Arabidopsis thaliana: one gene and its partners. The protein of the gene in region 3 interacts with the protein of the main gene of each other region in a pairwise test. Each region holds a gene or a part of one and is shown on either strand. Other genes may lie near its edges. The genes, in order: PYL10, RCAR1, HAB2 and PYL6.

What was found.
Region 1: the proteins of HAB2 (region 3) and PYL10 interact in binary tests that used the Arabidopsis thaliana proteins (3 or more experiments, as listed by UniProt).
Region 2: the proteins of HAB2 (region 3) and RCAR1 interact in binary tests that used the Arabidopsis thaliana proteins (3 or more experiments, as listed by UniProt).
Region 4: the proteins of HAB2 (region 3) and PYL6 interact in binary tests that used the Arabidopsis thaliana proteins (3 or more experiments, as listed by UniProt).

What each region holds. Positions count from the first base shown.
Region 1 is NC_003075.7:13,899,323-13,902,515, reverse strand, and holds PYL10 (PYR1-like 10), read right to left. Parts: upstream 1,375-3,193; 5' UTR 1,297-1,374; coding exon 1,174-1,296; intron 1,092-1,173; coding exon 873-1,091; intron 787-872; coding exon 577-786; 3' UTR 516-576; downstream 1-515. Other genes in the region: SDG16 (SET domain protein 16), read right to left, coding at 2,260-2,350, 2,440-2,540, 2,622-2,696, 2,784-2,870, 2,960-3,049, 3,143-3,193. UniProt on the Arabidopsis thaliana protein: Receptor for abscisic acid (ABA) required for ABA-mediated responses such as stomatal closure and germination inhibition.
Region 2 is NC_003070.9:140,093-143,768, reverse strand, and holds RCAR1 (regulatory component of ABA receptor 1), read right to left. Parts: upstream 1,900-3,676; 5' UTR 1,632-1,899; coding exon 1,488-1,631; intron 1,346-1,487; coding exon 1,130-1,345; intron 1,059-1,129; coding exon 855-1,058; 3' UTR 508-854; downstream 1-507. UniProt on the Arabidopsis thaliana protein: Receptor for abscisic acid (ABA) required for ABA-mediated responses such as stomatal closure and germination inhibition.
Region 3 is NC_003070.9:6,032,354-6,037,947, forward strand, and holds HAB2 (homology to ABI2), read left to right. Parts: upstream 1-1,916; 5' UTR 1,917-2,563; coding exon 2,564-3,307; intron 3,308-3,505; coding exon 3,506-3,856; intron 3,857-3,951; coding exon 3,952-4,057; intron 4,058-4,251; coding exon 4,252-4,586; 3' UTR 4,587-5,045; downstream 5,046-5,594. Other genes in the region: AT1G17540 (kinase with adenine nucleotide alpha hydrolases-like domain-containing protein), read right to left, coding at 1-59, 132-288; AT1G17545 (Protein phosphatase 2C family protein), read left to right, coding at 756-771, 954-1,156, 1,235-1,555; HLL (Ribosomal protein L14p/L23e family protein), read right to left, coding at 5,282-5,594. UniProt on the Arabidopsis thaliana protein: Key component and repressor of the abscisic acid (ABA) signaling pathway that regulates numerous ABA responses, such as stomatal closure, seed germination and inhibition of vegetative growth.
Region 4 is NC_003071.7:16,844,048-16,848,062, reverse strand, and holds PYL6 (PYR1-like 6), read left to right. Parts: upstream 1-1,868; 5' UTR 1,869-2,238; coding exon 2,239-2,886; 3' UTR 2,887-3,475; downstream 3,476-4,015. UniProt on the Arabidopsis thaliana protein: Receptor for abscisic acid (ABA) required for ABA-mediated responses such as stomatal closure and germination inhibition.

The DNA of each region.
Region 1 (3,193 bases), on a different chromosome or scaffold from region 3:
GTTCATTAAAATTCTATTAATTTTATGTTTATACATAAGTTTATACGATTTATATAATTTAATTTAAATAAGTTATTTATGTGAGTTTGATATACTTTGTACCTAATTAAATTGAAATTATTTAATTAATAAGTTCAAACATGTCAAAAAATTTAGAAAGAATTAATGCATGATTATAAATTCTTAAATACATTAAATTAAATAAGAAATGTAATTCATATGTTGATGTGATAAGTGTCACTCTATCTAATGCTGATATGTCGAAAAAATGGAGAGAGTTGAAAAAACTTTCATAAATATGATTTTGCATGTGTCATGATATGTTATTTATATTTTCATGTGGAAATGTTAAAAATAAAAAAGCATTTCATATAAACACTTACAAATTTGAATTTATATTTCTCGTTTGACAGCTATTCGAAATCATTTCGTTACAAACTTCCAATAATATACAAACATTCAGAAAATGGAAATAGAAGAAGAAAAAACATAGACATTGCTATAAAAGGGAAGAGTTATTTCTCTTCTTTGGTCTTTTTCCTTCTTTTCCGAATGAAAAGATTCTCAAGTCACATCTCATATCTTCTTCTCCATAGATTCTGCTTGTAGACGCTCGGTAACATCTGCTAAAGAATTGAGATTGCATTGAATCAAAGCCTCCACGAAGAAGCATGTCTCCTCCTTTGTGTTACCTTCCGGCACATCCACCACGAACGATTCTATAGCCAATGTCCCTGTTTTTCCGTCTATCGTCTCCGAATGTAACGAAATGGTTGAAGAATAATTCTGATTGGACAAATAACAAATTAAGCTCTAAAAAAAACAATAATCTTGTCGGAATGAATGGTACATTTAAGGAAATTTCAATTTACCTTGAGTCTATGATCACCACCAACTATTCTGATGCCGAGAATATGCTCATTGTCGTCAAGAATCTCTAATACCTCAGTGCTTTTAGTAGCTGGTAATCCAGATTTCAAATCCACTTCTCTTACGCTACCAACCTCCAGCTTCTTACCTTGTACCACACACCTACTGATAAATGGTTTGTATTTTTGTGGTTCATCGAATCTCCTCACAATTGACCACACCTTTTCCAAACAAAACAAATCATTTAACATCTCAAAAATCGTTATCTTTAACACTTGAAAAACAGAGCAAAGCAAAGCTTACGAGATGCAGAGGAGCTTTGATGTGCTTAACGAGCGTAGAGCTACATTGAGACTCTACAAGCTCGTGTCTATGGTGTTTCTTGATGTACTCGCTCTCCACCTTCTTTGTTTCGTCACCGTTCATCGTTATCTTAAATAGCAGCAATTTAAATAATTTTGATTAGACAAAAATTATTCGTGCCTTTAGTTTTTTTTTTTTTTCACTCAATAGTAGAACCACTGTACCAGTGTGCAGCTATTTAAAGGATGCTCTTTTATATTGACGAATATAGCCTTCCAAGTTTCTATGAGTGAATTCATTTTTAACTTATATCTGTATTCCCATTATCTTGGATTATGATCCGACATGTCAAGTACAGATGGACGGATTGTAAACATTAATGTGGAGGATTGTAACATTATTTTTTCCTATTTCTTTGAAAAATATCTCTCTATCAAATGCTTTAAGTTTAACACATAACCACAAAATCTTTAGAATGTTTCAGAATTGCTCATATACAGTTTGACACCGAAACATTTTTTCTTATGGGAATTGTTATCCGTTATGCAATTTACCTTGTGTGGCTTTGAACATATCTGAAGTATAGATAAGAGTCAATCCATATTCGCATCAATTGGGCCGTCAAAAACGCTTAAAAGTGTTTTAAGAAAACCATTACGAGATCTTTTATCAGCAGCAAACTACAATTCGTCTGACATGGCACTTGACGAAAGCACGATTCATAAACCGGCGCGAAAGGAAAATCAATTCCCAATTGAATTGACTCATCACCTTCGCGGTATAACCGTAGTAAACCGATGGTTATAGGGTAAAACGGTCACAACAGTTGGAATTATCCCAAGTTTTCTGCTCAAGTCTCGTTGAAATGAACAAAATGAATGAAATTGAATTCTTTTGAGGATAATGGTGACACAAACGAGTTTGTCTATACAGAGAGGCAGAAGAGATCAGACTTGGATCACTTAGCTTTTCTCTCTACCTATAAATCTATTGTTTTTGGAGCAAAAAGAGACAATCTTGCTTTGGCCTTTTCTTCTTGGTGTTGTAGCCTGTGAAGTAAACTTAGAGGATCTATACCTTTCTATTCTAATTCATGAATTTCCTGCAGTTAGGGGCTTTACATAAGCATGGCACCTTGAGTTCCTCTGCCTCGTCTGGATCAAATAAGTAATCATACCTGCCAAAACACCACACAACATTTCTTAAACTATGACAATCAATCAGCTTTAGATTGAAGAATGGTATATATAGAAATGCGTTGTGTACGTTAACTCCTCTCCCACAGCTACATTGGCCTTGGCTATCAGGACAATCCTGCTTTCCTCATCTCCTACACTCATAATCCTCGCATAGCAGTTTGGTGTACACTACACACCACGTATTTTGATTTAGGCTTTAACAGTCTGTCAAATTTCTTGTACGTAAAAAGTCCATGCCAAGCAGCTTACCGAATGATTGATGAGCCGAGCTATATTCCCTTTATCTGTAGCATCAACCACTACTTCTTCACTGATCTTGAAAAGCTGCAACATAAATCCTTCTTTTGGTTAAGAGAGATAGAGAGAGAAGAGACAATTTGTGAAGATAAAATGGAAACTTTTTCAACTCACATAGCAATCCTTTCCTACTCTGCGATAACGTGCTTCTCTCAAGTCTGCAATGCTACCTCTCACCTGTTCCCCTCTGTATTCAAGAACCTGAAATACAATAGCACCTCTCGACAATAAACACTCCCCTCATCCCAAATAGACCAAACACAATATCACAAATGGGTCTGCTGACATACCATTTCTCCTTCTTGGATATTTCTTCTTGCAAAAAGACCCCATCCATGAATTCCAGATCGCCCAAAGCAGACCCGATCCATTTCTGTCCTCTGTTACATTAAACATACACATGTTACAGCCGATAATATCAAAAAATAAAACCTGAACATTCCAATCTCGTTCAAACATCAGAGAATTCTTGCCTGCAAGTGGTGAAGTCGTTCCCTGAAAGAAGAAAACGATTTGGGTTCTTC
Region 2 (3,676 bases), 5.9 Mb from region 3:
TTTTACTGCTGGAGAAATCGCACCATGAGAGAGAGAGAGGAATCGTAAAATCGGAAAAGAGAATCGACGAAAACTGCGATTATGAAAGTCACCTGCTGAGAAATTTCCCGCTAGATACGAAAAGATTAGAAGATTGGAGCGGAACTTTTACTTTCCCGCTCGACACTCAAATTTTGATTTTAAAATCGAATCTGCTTCACAATTTGTTTCAGTCAAGAGTCTCTCTGAACAACTTATTACAATTTGCACTAAACCTGTGGCTTCACATAGAGGGTTCGACTCGATTGTTAGCCTTCTTTAGTTCCTGTTTTACCCCTGGTCTGTATACAATATTACATTCAAATATGTACCTGTTTGTTTAGATGAAAATTGGAAACAGAGGGGAATAGGTTTTGTGTGTTTTACCGTTAAACCTCAATTCAAAATCTTTGTCTCTCTCTCTCTCTCCCAATTTATGCTCATCTTTTCAAGTTAATGAAATTGACACAGTTTTTCAACTTTCTGCCTCAGATTCTTTACAAGTTCTCAGCATCCAATCATAGGTTCTGTTCAATAGAGAAGTGGAATCTGAAGTCTACAGAAACATCTTTTGTGAACTATATATTATACATCATAAACCATTCACATTTACATTGTTTACAAAAATATCTACAAATAACAAACCACCAGGAGATATCTTACATCAAAACTTCACCATTGGGACAATATGTACATCTTTTTAGACTGGTCATTACCGAGGATAGATATCTATATATATATCTAGGCCAAACCAAAAAAATCCTGAAGAATATTGATTATATCACAAACTGGAATTGATACTTCACTTCAATGCCCTTGTTCATTGATTATGTAGTTCACTGAGTAATGTCCTGAGAAGCCAATCTTTCAGAAACATCTGCTAGTGACTTGAGATTACATCTGATAAGTGCTTCAACAAAGTAGCAAGTCTCATCCTTTGTGTTACCTTGAGGAACATCAACTACAAACGATTCAATCACCATCGTTCCTGCTCTTCCCTCGATTATCTCCGGATGAACCGTCAAAATCGACGAGTAATTCTGCAAACAAACAATCAATGAGAATCTGCATATAAACAAACATCAATGAGATTTGATTTCTCTCGCTGTACCTTAAGTCTGTGATCACCACCGATGATTTTGATACCGAGGATGTGTTCTTCATCATCAAGAAGTTCTAATCTCTCAGTAGATGTTGTTGCAGGAAGACCAGATTTAACATTGACTTCTCTAAGACTGCCGATTTCAGGATCACCGATTACTGTACATCTGCTCACAAACGGTTTGTATTTCTGCGGCTGATCAAATCTCCGTACAAGTGACCAAACCTAAAAAAAATCAATTATAATCAATCGTTAAACAGAGATTTGGGGGAAAAAACCCTAAATCGATGGTTGGGATCAAAATTGACGGATCATGGAGAAAATGGTACGAAAAGGGTGAAATTAGTGGTAGATTGGAGAAGCTTACGAGATGAAGAGGAGCTTTGATGTGTTTGACAAGAGCAGAGGTACACTGGTTTTCTCTGCACAGATGTTGATGATGCGTCCGTACGTATTGCACCGTCTCGAGACCACCGTACATCGCCGTGCCGCCTTCAACGCCGTCCATCATATCTCTCTCTCTCTCTCTCTCTTTCGTTCTTCGTTGTTATCTCACAAGGGAGAATCTCTGGAAATGGATAATAAATACAAGGAAGAAGAAGAAGATGCTTCGTTATGCCAAAACAAAATTACTTGTTTATGTTTTTTGGTTTCTTTTAATGAACCCACCGACATAATAACTTTTTACTTTTGTACCTAAACTCTTTTTTATAGCTTCCTTCTTCTCCTTCACACATTTTCAGCTTTTCAAACCAAACAAAAACACAACAAGATACTAATTTTTTAATGTAACAAAAAAACAAAATATTTAAGCAAGTTTTATTGTATGACGTTTTGGGGACCTATATAATCCGAACAAAACAAAACAGATTGCTTAGATAATTATTTGTTTTGATTAGGTAAGATCGTTTCAAACTTTATAGATAGTTTTGTTAATTTAAATTCAATTTTAGACCATATTCATTATAATAGCTAATTTTTTAGACACAAAATGTCGTTAATATACCAGAAATTTATAAATGAGTGATTCTCCATGTATCAGGTCTCATATGTCTTAGACCACATCTTATTAGATATAGCTCTCGTTGCCTTTAAACCTTGTTGTTAAACATTAATTAATTGTATCAAGCTAAATGTCTAACACCATATCCTATCTGCAAAGTGACTGTTCCATGTAGTCATGTACGACACGTAAGGTGTAATTTCTCTTCTAGGAGGAGAAGGCATTTCTACAAGAAGATTGGTACAAGGCATCCACAATCTAAAATCATGAAACAAGAACTTTAATCTGTTTGAGACAAAGTCCTTAATTATATCATACCGAATGTAGACAAACTAGTTTTTGTTAAATTGTATTTGTTGTGAATCACACCTCATACGAAGGAAAGATGAGATACCACAAAGAATCTACAATAAATCATCATTCGATTCATCTCCACTAGTCTAAAGTTGCCCCTCCTCCATCTTCTTCGTGAAACTCAAGCTTTCGAAACATATGGTGGAAGTCACTTTTGATAACCACCGCCGCTAATTACGCTTTCTAACCAGTAATATTAATGGATTACTATATAATTAGTGAATTCTATTTCTTTCTTTTTTGAATTCTACTTTTGTTTTTCCCAAAGGAGAAAAGACTCACCTTTACTTGGTTTTCTCAAACAAAAACAACATAATCACTTTTTAGATAAATCTAGTTAAATGATTACTTATCTAATTATCTTCTAACATATGTATTAATTATGGTTTAAGGTTTTCATAACGAACAATCTTCCGATTTTGTAACCATTTTAAACAACACATATAATTGTAACCGGAGGTTTTCTTGTTCAATATGAATATGGTTTATGCTTACATATCTCATTAATTGTCTGAAATTGACGTTATGATAAAATAGGGATTTAGTTTATATATAACATTTTCTGCAATCATATTTTTTAAAAAATGTTAAGTGATAATATAGTACTTAAAAGAGCGGTAATTGACGATAATTACAGTAACCTTATCAGATAAAAATTTACCCAAAACAAAGCTTATCGGATAGGATCACCTTTGGCACTAGCTAGGCATGCGAACTTAAACGCAAAAGACGACTTTGGCGTAAATTATTAACTGCTTCAAGATAAAAACAAGGAGCCTTTTTAGTGACAGCGACAATGAGCTAAATACGGTTAAATAATAGGAAACCAATATACGTGTCATATTTTCATTGGTTTATTGTCTGTCATTTTCATGTTCACGTATTATGTCGTTTCTCGTGAACTTGACACGTGTAATTCTTCTTTTTGTTCATTTGGATAACTTTTTTGCCGGCCAATAGGTTCCGAATCTTTTCGAATTAACCAATACCACAAAAAAAACAGACGGAAGTGAAAGAAAAAAAGACAACATTAACGACATTCTTCTGATAATGCTGGCAGTAAAAAGTTATGAATTTATCGTTTCATTCATTTGTCCTGGTTTAATCTAACTTTGACTGTTTCAACAAATTTAACAAAAGGAAAAAGCTTCAAATTTAGATGAACCAAAGAAGGCCCAATCTTTAAAGACCATCACAAT
Region 3 (5,594 bases):
CTGATGCGCCTCTTCTTGGTTGTCATGTGGTGCTTCTGTGTTTTCTCCTGCCCCAAATCCTGTTTCAAGAGTTTTCATTAGATTGATGGATTGATAACAATGATGATGATGATGATGATGCCATTACGTACTCAGTTTGGTTTGAACATGGAGAAGGATACAGTTTGGAGAATCGATGATGATATTCTCAACAGCCCATTTCAAAGCGTGTTGGCTGTTCTTATCTTTATCAATGGCTATGGCGGTAACTGCTTTGCTGTCTTTTCCTTTGAGTCTTCTTGCAGCCATTGTTTCTCAGCCCTCGAGATGATTGCTGGAAACTTTTGCTTCTGGAGAAACTAGAAAGACATTGTGGTACGGTCTTTCAATTACCCTCAGAAGGAGGAAATAAGGAGACCGAATGATAATGAAAATGATAACAAGGAATTAAGAAGAGAAGAGGAGAGGAGAGCTGTTTTGTTTGTTGAGAAAATTTAAACTTATAATGGTTTTGGCACTTTGCTAAAATTAGAAGGTTTTTCTTTTCTCCAACAATCTAAACAGTCATAACGAACAGAGAGGCAGACAAAAAGAGGATTTTTTTAATTTTAGTTGACGACTTATCTTTAAAGGATATTCCATATCATATCTTGTAGACAAAAAGAGGATTTTTTATTTTTAGATTTGTGTAATGGCATCTTATATTGATATATATGTAAACTAGATAAATTTGGAATTATAGGCAGTCTTGATCTTTTAGAAGAAAGAAGAAGACCATGAGGAAATCCAAAGGTTGAAATTAGTTTTATAATTGTTTCGACGAACGTGTTAAATATCTTGGGGTAACCTGTTTGGTTTTGAAAGGGCAAAAGGGTTTGAGTTTGAAGGACTTTGTCTTTTGTGTGTGATTCATGTCGCTGATGAGGAGGACCTTTGATATTTCAAAGAAACCATATGGAGTATATAATATATAGCTAATAATGATTTTCGTATAACAAACAGCCGTGTACAAGCGAGTGTGGAATTTAATAATAGTTGTGGACGCTACAATGGAAGTGGAATAGAGGATCATGGGCGAGTTCTTGCTACGTCCATTATCCTGAATGATGATGCGGTTCCCACAACACAAGTCCTTATTACTACAAGTCATCATGATAATGTAGCAAAGAGGAAGGAGGTGGAGTGTCTATGAGCTAGAGTGTATACCTCTTTGGGGCACTGTGTCAATCTGCGGTGAAATGGAGGATGCTGTTAGAGCTTTATCTCATTTTTCAAACTACCTATCAGAATGCTTATGTGTGATCATGAAGGGATAATAAGTCCAACGCTCACATGTCTCACTAGTCACTTCTTCGGAATTTATGATGGCCACAGAAGAAGCAGACCTGTTTCTGGTTCTGTTTCTTCTGATGATAGGATGGTTCTTCAGGCTGTTTCCCCTGAGACCGTCGGATCAACTGCTGTTGTTGCTTTGGTTTGCTCATCACATATCATAGTTTCCAACTGTGGTGGTTCAAGAGTGGTTTTACTCCGCGGCAAAGAATCCATGCCTTTATCAGTTGATCAGAAAGTATAAAAGCTGAGACAGAGCTAATGAAGTTTCTTACCTTAATGTAAACAAGTGGACGCTAGAGCCCATATAAGTGACGCTGACTGGGCCTTAATGTAGGCCCATTTCAAACTTTGGTCTCCGAGAAAAGTCTTTCGTTGTCTATTTTTTAACCACGTTATGATAACACTACATGTGTCATGAGATGCATGAACATATGTCATGAACATACTTTCAATCTTGGATCAAAAAACTAAATTAGAAGAATAAACAGAAGACTTGACCTTTAAGAGGGAAGGACACGCGTCATCTATGTTGCCATTATTGAATAGATTAATAAATTAGTTTTATAATTGATTGGAGCAACGTGTTAATAATGAAGGTCGTTGTCACATAAAGAAACTTGGGATTCCGTGGAGTGCTTATAATTTTTCTAATTTTATTTTTTGGGTAAAAACCTCATTAGATCCAGGAGAACCCATGTTTCGTTTCGTTTTGGAAAGATAAGAGAGATAAAGGTTTCGACTTTTTTAGGTTTTTCTGTGTGTTTTGTGATTCATTTCGCTGATTGATATCAATTCTCTCTGTTTGTTGTCCCTTCTCTTCAATTTCACCTGACTTTTGTTTTTGTTTTGGATAAAGTTTTCACCTTTGTGTCTTCTCTCTGCTCTCTTGTGTGATCTATCTGAAAAAGGCTGATTTTTTTTTTGTGGGTTTCTAAATTAGGGTTTGTGTGAGTTTATTGTCTTTCTGATTCGATGAAGATCAAGAGTTATAGAGGATCGTTAGAGTGATCAAAATCCCACGAATTCACAAAGGATCCGTCTTCATAGATCCGTCAGATCTGTTCAGCGGAGGTACATACTTCTTCGTCATTCACTGCTTTCTGGATTAGTTGGTGAGAATAAACGGCTGGTGGGTCTCGGTGGGAAGCTGAATTGGATGTAGAGTTCATCAGACTATAGCTTAGAGAAGAAAATGAAGTTTTTTGAATCGTTTTGCTCCAGTTGAGGTTTGGAAGCTGCATACCAGCTCATGGAAGAGATTTCACCTGCAGTTGCACTTACTTTGGGTTTAGCTAATACGATGTGTGACTCTGGAATCTCATCTACTTTCGATATCTCCGAGCTGGAGAATGTTACTGATGCAGCTGACATGTTGTGTAATCAGAAAAGACAAAGATATAGTAATGGAGTGGTGGATTGTATTATGGGAAGTGTTTCAGAAGAGAAGACTTTATCTGAAGTGAGAAGTTTGTCTTCTGATTTTAGTGTAACTGTCCAGGAATCAGAAGAAGATGAGCCATTAGTATCTGATGCGACTATTATTAGCGAAGGTTTAATAGTTGTGGACGCTAGGTCTGAGATAAGTTTGCCAGATACAGTTGAAACTGATAACGGGCGAGTTCTTGCTACGGCCATTATCCTAAACGAGACAACCATAGAACAGGTTCCCACTGCAGAAGTCCTTATTGCGAGTCTGAATCACGATGTGAATATGGAGGTGGCAACTTCTGAGGTAGTCATTAGGTTACCTGAAGAAAATCCTAATGTAGCAAGAGGAAGCAGGAGTGTTTATGAACTAGAGTGTATACCTCTTTGGGGCACGATTTCAATTTGCGGTGGAAGATCTGAAATGGAGGATGCTGTTAGAGCTTTACCTCATTTTCTCAAAATACCCATCAAAATGCTTATGGGGGATCATGAAGGGATGAGTCCAAGTCTCCCATATCTCACTAGTCACTTCTTTGGTGTATATGATGGCCACGGAGGCGCTCAGGTATGCTGTAGTTCGTAAATCCTTATACTGATTTTAGCAGTAGAAAGTTAATTCAACTATGAACCCGGAAGATACATGAGTTTATGTTTTGTTGACGTAGGTTGTATGTATATATGATAAAGGGTTTGCTGGAAACGGGATTCTTTGCAGGTTGTTATGTAATATATGACGGCTTTGGTGGAAATCGGATTCTTGCAGGTTGCTGACTATTGCCATGATAGAATCCACTCTGCTTTGGCTGAAGAAATCGAACGGATTAAAGAGGAATTGTGTAGGAGGAACACTGGCGAGGGTAGGCAGGTCCAGTGGGAGAAAGTCTTTGTAGATTGTTACCTAAAAGTCGATGATGAGGTTAAAGGGAAAATCAACAGACCTGTTGTTGGTTCTTCTGATAGGATGGTTCTTGAAGCTGTTTCCCCTGAAACCGTTGGATCGACTGCTGTGGTTGCTTTGGTTTGTTCATCGCATATAATAGTCTCAAACTGTGGTGACTCAAGAGCAGTTTTACTCCGAGGCAAAGACTCCATGCCTTTATCAGTTGATCACAAAGTAAAAAATCTTCTCTTTCCCTCTAAAATAATTTAACACAATCTGAGAAAGTTTCTTATTTCTAATTCATGAAATTTCTTACCCTTTCTCTGCAGCCAGATAGAGAGGATGAGTATGCACGAATAGAGAAAGCTGGAGGAAAAGTTATACAATGGCAAGGCGCTCGTGTTTCTGGCGTTCTTGCCATGTCCAGGTCCATCGGTAGGTCAAACTTGCACTTATGTCTTCCATCTTGCCTAGTGACAGAAATATGAAGAGAGTTTTATAGGTCAAAATTATCGATAAATTAAACATTCAGTAACCTTATTTAGAGATGAGGATCATTACTACCTGTTACAGTCTCTGCAAAATCATGAGATCTCCTGAAAGTGGGTTTCAATCTGCATCGTTTTCAGGTGATCAATATCTGGAGCCATTTGTAATACCAGATCCCGAAGTGACGTTTATGCCACGAGCTAGAGAAGACGAGTGTCTAATATTGGCCAGTGATGGACTTTGGGACGTAATGAGTAACCAAGAAGCTTGCGATTTTGCGAGGAGGCGGATCTTGGCTTGGCACAAGAAGAATGGAGCATTGCCTTTAGCTGAGAGAGGTGTAGGAGAAGACCAAGCGTGTCAAGCTGCGGCTGAATATCTCTCCAAACTCGCTATTCAAATGGGAAGCAAAGACAATATCTCAATCATAGTGATCGACTTGAAAGCTCAAAGAAAGTTCAAGACCAGATCTTGAAACAGTGTATGCTCGAGCTCTTACACTATTATAATTTTATTATTTCTTATTTATTGAAAAAATTTCCACAAGTTTACATAAAAATAAGAAGTGAAATGTTGGGGGGAAGAAGAATTAAGACCTTGATGCATAGCTGAAGTCCATTCCTTTTTCTCATGGACTTGAATGTGTATGTTTGTTATGTATAAGAAGAATAGAGAAGAAATGTTTTTACTTTGGAGTCTTGTAGGTGGATATGTTGTTGTAATATTGGAGATGTGGCTTAAGGAATTGTAACTGAAATTTATGTCACATTCACCTTAATACTTTTCTGTAATCTATTATATATAAATACTTGTTGTGAAAGAGTTATTATTGTCTTTTCTATTGTTATTGTTATACAACAGGTAATATTGATTCCAAAGTGTTTAATGAGGGATGCTGTATCAAACATGAAAACTAAGTGAAGGGTTTGGAGAAGGATGGTTGTTTAAAGCTATTTCCCCTGCTTTTTTTACTAAGAGAGTAGAGTTTAACAATTAAAAGAAACCTAAATAAGAGATCATAATTGGTACGTTAAGGTTTCATAATTCATTAGAATTAACAAAAATAATGAGTTGGATAGTTGAAGAATCAACAGAAACCCAAGTGATGAATGGATCAAAGAGAGTCACATAAAGGAGATCATAACTGATGTTTTAGTGTGGTGTATTGTCTCAAACAATGTGCTGAGCCAAAGAAAGGATCTTGAGCTGTTTCCTGAGGCGCATCTCGTGCGGGACAGGACCAAACACTCGGGTACCAGTCGGTTGGTTGTACTCCATTTTCCTCTTGGAACCATGTGAATTATTCTGCCCTTTCTTTTCCTTAATGCCAACAACTACAATGGCATTGTCATCAAACTTGACTTGGCTTCCATCAGCACGTCCTTTAGGCATCGCAGCACGCACAACCACACCGTACACGACCATCCCTTTCTTCACTTTACCTTTTGGGATAGCGTCTTTCTTTACTTTTTTTTGAACAATT
Region 4 (4,015 bases), on a different chromosome or scaffold from region 3:
TTATTTAAAAGGCTTTAACTATTCCATTCTGGTCTCCAAAATCGTTTTTCTTGCTCGAATCTTGAAGATCTTCTAAGCCTTTAGAAAAATGAAGAAATCAAGTTGGCAAACTGTTAATTAATTAAATCCAATGAATTGGTGGGTATTGCACCTCCACAAGTTCCCTTTGACAATGTGTCCTCTTCTCCGCAAGAATGAGATGCAACTATTTTGGACAATTTCTCCTTTTAATTACTTTTTGATCGATAATCTTCTCTTAATATCACGTTGTAATCTGATTCATTCAAATATCTATCGAAATTTAAGCTTATCTTTGATTTTTTCGATACTTATTTTTGAAATTTTAAGTGCATTTTGTTTATAATCATAGTTGGGGATTTAATAATTTTAGGTGGAATAATATTTTATGCATATTGGAGATTTATTTCTCGAGAAATATTCACAAACAAACAAACAACCGGCTTTTGCACAAAAATAATAATGACATGGAGTCGAGTTGTTTATACTAATGTTTGTCACTATCTCACCATTGGAATTTAAATCTTGGATATATAATACATGTTTTGACAAAAAAAAAAGTTGGCACAAATTATGTTGTTGTAACAAAATACGTCTGATGCATTGATTTGAGATTGACTCTTTGAACCCAAAAATGTATCACCGTAATATTAATACATTTTCCACATCAACTTGTAATCTATTTGTGTTCAGTAATATATTGGTGAGTGATTATGTCACCTAACCCGAAAGCTTATAAGATGAGCAATCTTTATATCGAGGATGGTGCAAAAAATAGCAAATTGTAACTTTTTGTCCTTCTTATTCTATAAAATGTCAGATATAATTAGTACTGCAAATTGCTCGCTTATTCGTATTAATCTTAACAACTAGGGCTACTTGGGAATATGTATAGTTGTTGGAAAAACTAATGCATTAGATAACCCTTTATTATTTTTCCCAATTGTGTTTTGTTATTATGCCCACCACTCAAATCCAAGAGTCCAATATATTCATATGATTTGAATATACGTTTGTGGAAGAAAACACACCCAAGAAATATTGTCCAATTCGTAAATTTCCCTGACTTTACGTTGGTTACTTTTAGCAAACTGCTTAGTTTGATTTTCTTCTAATTCGTCTTATTAATATTCTGTTCTTTTCTTTGTTGAAAAGGAATTTGATTAATACTTTTTTTAGTATCGTCGAAAGGCTCAAGTTGATTACAAGATGAGGAAAGATTATTATGATGGACCCATGACATGATATCTTCACCAACTTGGAACATTGAAAGTCCTATGGAGTTATTTTTGAAATTTTTACCTTAGTCAGAAGGTTCCAACAAAATTAAAAATCCACCAAAAACGCATCCAAGAATAGTACCAACTGAAAATAGATCGGCAATCACAAAGACAAAGGTCGGTCCTCCCAACCAATTTGTTTCAAGAATTTTTTCAAACCTATGCATAAATTAAGTATAGCTCTTAACCAATATATATAGCTTAACCAACTCGACACATAGTGATCATGTTCTTATAATCTTTAATAACGTTTTAGAGTTAGCTATATATATAGCCTCGAGACAGTAGAAGATTGAAATATCTATGCAAAACCTCAAAGATAATGTTCAATGTTTTTATATTCTGAATATTGATATAATCGGTGAGATAGAGATGAGTTCAGAATTTTTTTCTCGGTATCTTAAATGATATTGATTTCATTTTCTCAACTTTCATTCAAGAGTGTTTTTGGTTAAAACATAAAAACGTCCATTCTAATTATAGTAATGCTTGTGTGGTTACGACAACATGCTCATTCATTGTAATAAACTGGTGAAATATATAGCACCATTGACAAATAGACAGCCTCAGTAACAAAGCAAGGAAAAACAAAATTAAAATTTAATAACCGGTTATATTAAATATCGAGAACCAGTCCGTAGAATTTCATGGGAAACCGGGCCGGTCCTTGATATAAAGAAAGAGAGAGACGTTTCTTAACTGAAGCAGTACACAAACTCCAAACAAATCCCAAGTGGACAACCGAAGAACCCACACAAACTAACTCTCTTTCCTAATCCACATACTTGCATTTTTATATATAAACACTCTGTCCTTATATAGTTCTGTATATTACATGTAAATATCTCTCATTAATACAACCTCACGAAGAAAACCATTTGTTTTCTTAGAGAGAGCCAAGAATATTAAAAGAGATATAGAGAAAAGATTTGCTTTAATAATGCCAACGTCGATACAGTTTCAGAGATCCTCCACCGCCGCAGAAGCAGCCAACGCCACCGTAAGAAACTATCCCCACCACCATCAGAAACAGGTTCAAAAAGTGAGCCTCACGCGCGGGATGGCTGATGTGCCGGAGCACGTGGAGCTTTCCCACACGCACGTGGTTGGTCCTTCTCAGTGCTTCTCCGTCGTGGTACAAGACGTGGAGGCTCCGGTTTCCACAGTCTGGTCGATCCTAAGCCGCTTCGAACACCCTCAAGCGTACAAACACTTCGTGAAAAGCTGCCACGTGGTTATCGGAGACGGTCGAGAGGTTGGGTCGGTGAGAGAGGTCAGAGTCGTCTCTGGTCTCCCCGCGGCGTTTAGCTTAGAGCGGCTTGAGATCATGGACGATGATCGCCACGTCATCAGTTTCAGCGTCGTTGGTGGGGACCACAGACTCATGAACTACAAGTCGGTGACGACGGTGCATGAGTCGGAGGAGGACTCCGACGGCAAGAAGAGGACACGTGTCGTTGAGTCATACGTCGTTGACGTACCGGCGGGTAACGATAAGGAAGAGACTTGTAGCTTTGCTGATACTATAGTACGGTGCAACTTGCAATCGCTGGCTAAACTCGCCGAGAACACTTCTAAATTCTCGTAATTACATTTTTTCAATCTTTTTATTTTTATTTTATTTTCTATATTTCTCTCTTTCAAAATTTATCTTTTATTTTTGGGATTCTCGAGGTGGTTTTGGATTTTAAGATTTAAGTATTTAACTATCGTCGGGGATTTTTCGAAACTAAAACAAAAAACAAGAATTATATCAAACAAGATGGTTTTGGTTTTTCGAAGTTAGGGTTTTTAGGGTCTGTTAAATGTATGTCTCAACGATACTTTGGTTTTACCCTTAAAACCATTTCTTCTTGTACAGCTCTCGTAGCTTTATTATATAAACATTGATTGTTTAGTTATTTTCATAATCTTCTTCTTGCGCCGTATTTTACATATTTATTATTTGTCTTTTAATTTAGTTAATCATGAAACAATATAGACTATATAGTGATTCAGCTATAATGCATGGGGTATATTGTTACGATATTTCCGATATTATTATGTCTAATTTCATTAATTTTGATAACCTACATAATAATGTATTACACAAACAATTTGATTAATATAATCATTGGCATATCTACTATATATGAAGAGATCTGAACAATTGTGGGCAATCAGAAAACCCATACATGTGCTGATTGAGATGATTCGTTTTCCTTTATGTTAAGAGAAGAACAAAGTAAAACTATACATCATTTGAATTTTATTGAAATGTATAAACAGTAGAATACTACTTGGTGTTTTAAATGAATTTGCTCACCAGCTATATAATCAAAGCGTTCAATCCTAAAAGCAAAGATGGAATAATATCAATTAGTGATAATTAAACTTGAACCAAGGCGTAATGCATGTATTGAGTTATGTGATATAATCTTAAGAATTTTCTTTATGGCATATATAATGCTAGGCCAAAATAAATGGTGTCAGGTAATACAGCATTATATCTTTAATTCCCTAATTTGGAAACGTAAAATTTTCAAATTATTTGTCATTTCATCAACAAACTTTACATAAATACGTAAATGTTTTGTTTTTACTCACCAAAAAAATAAATCAAAATTATTTACATACCAAAATGATAAAATTTCTTAGTTCCTTTTATAGTTTTGGGATGCGTGAACCGTTTCAATAATTCAAATGTCAAAATTATTACTTTTTCGGATTTCCTTGTC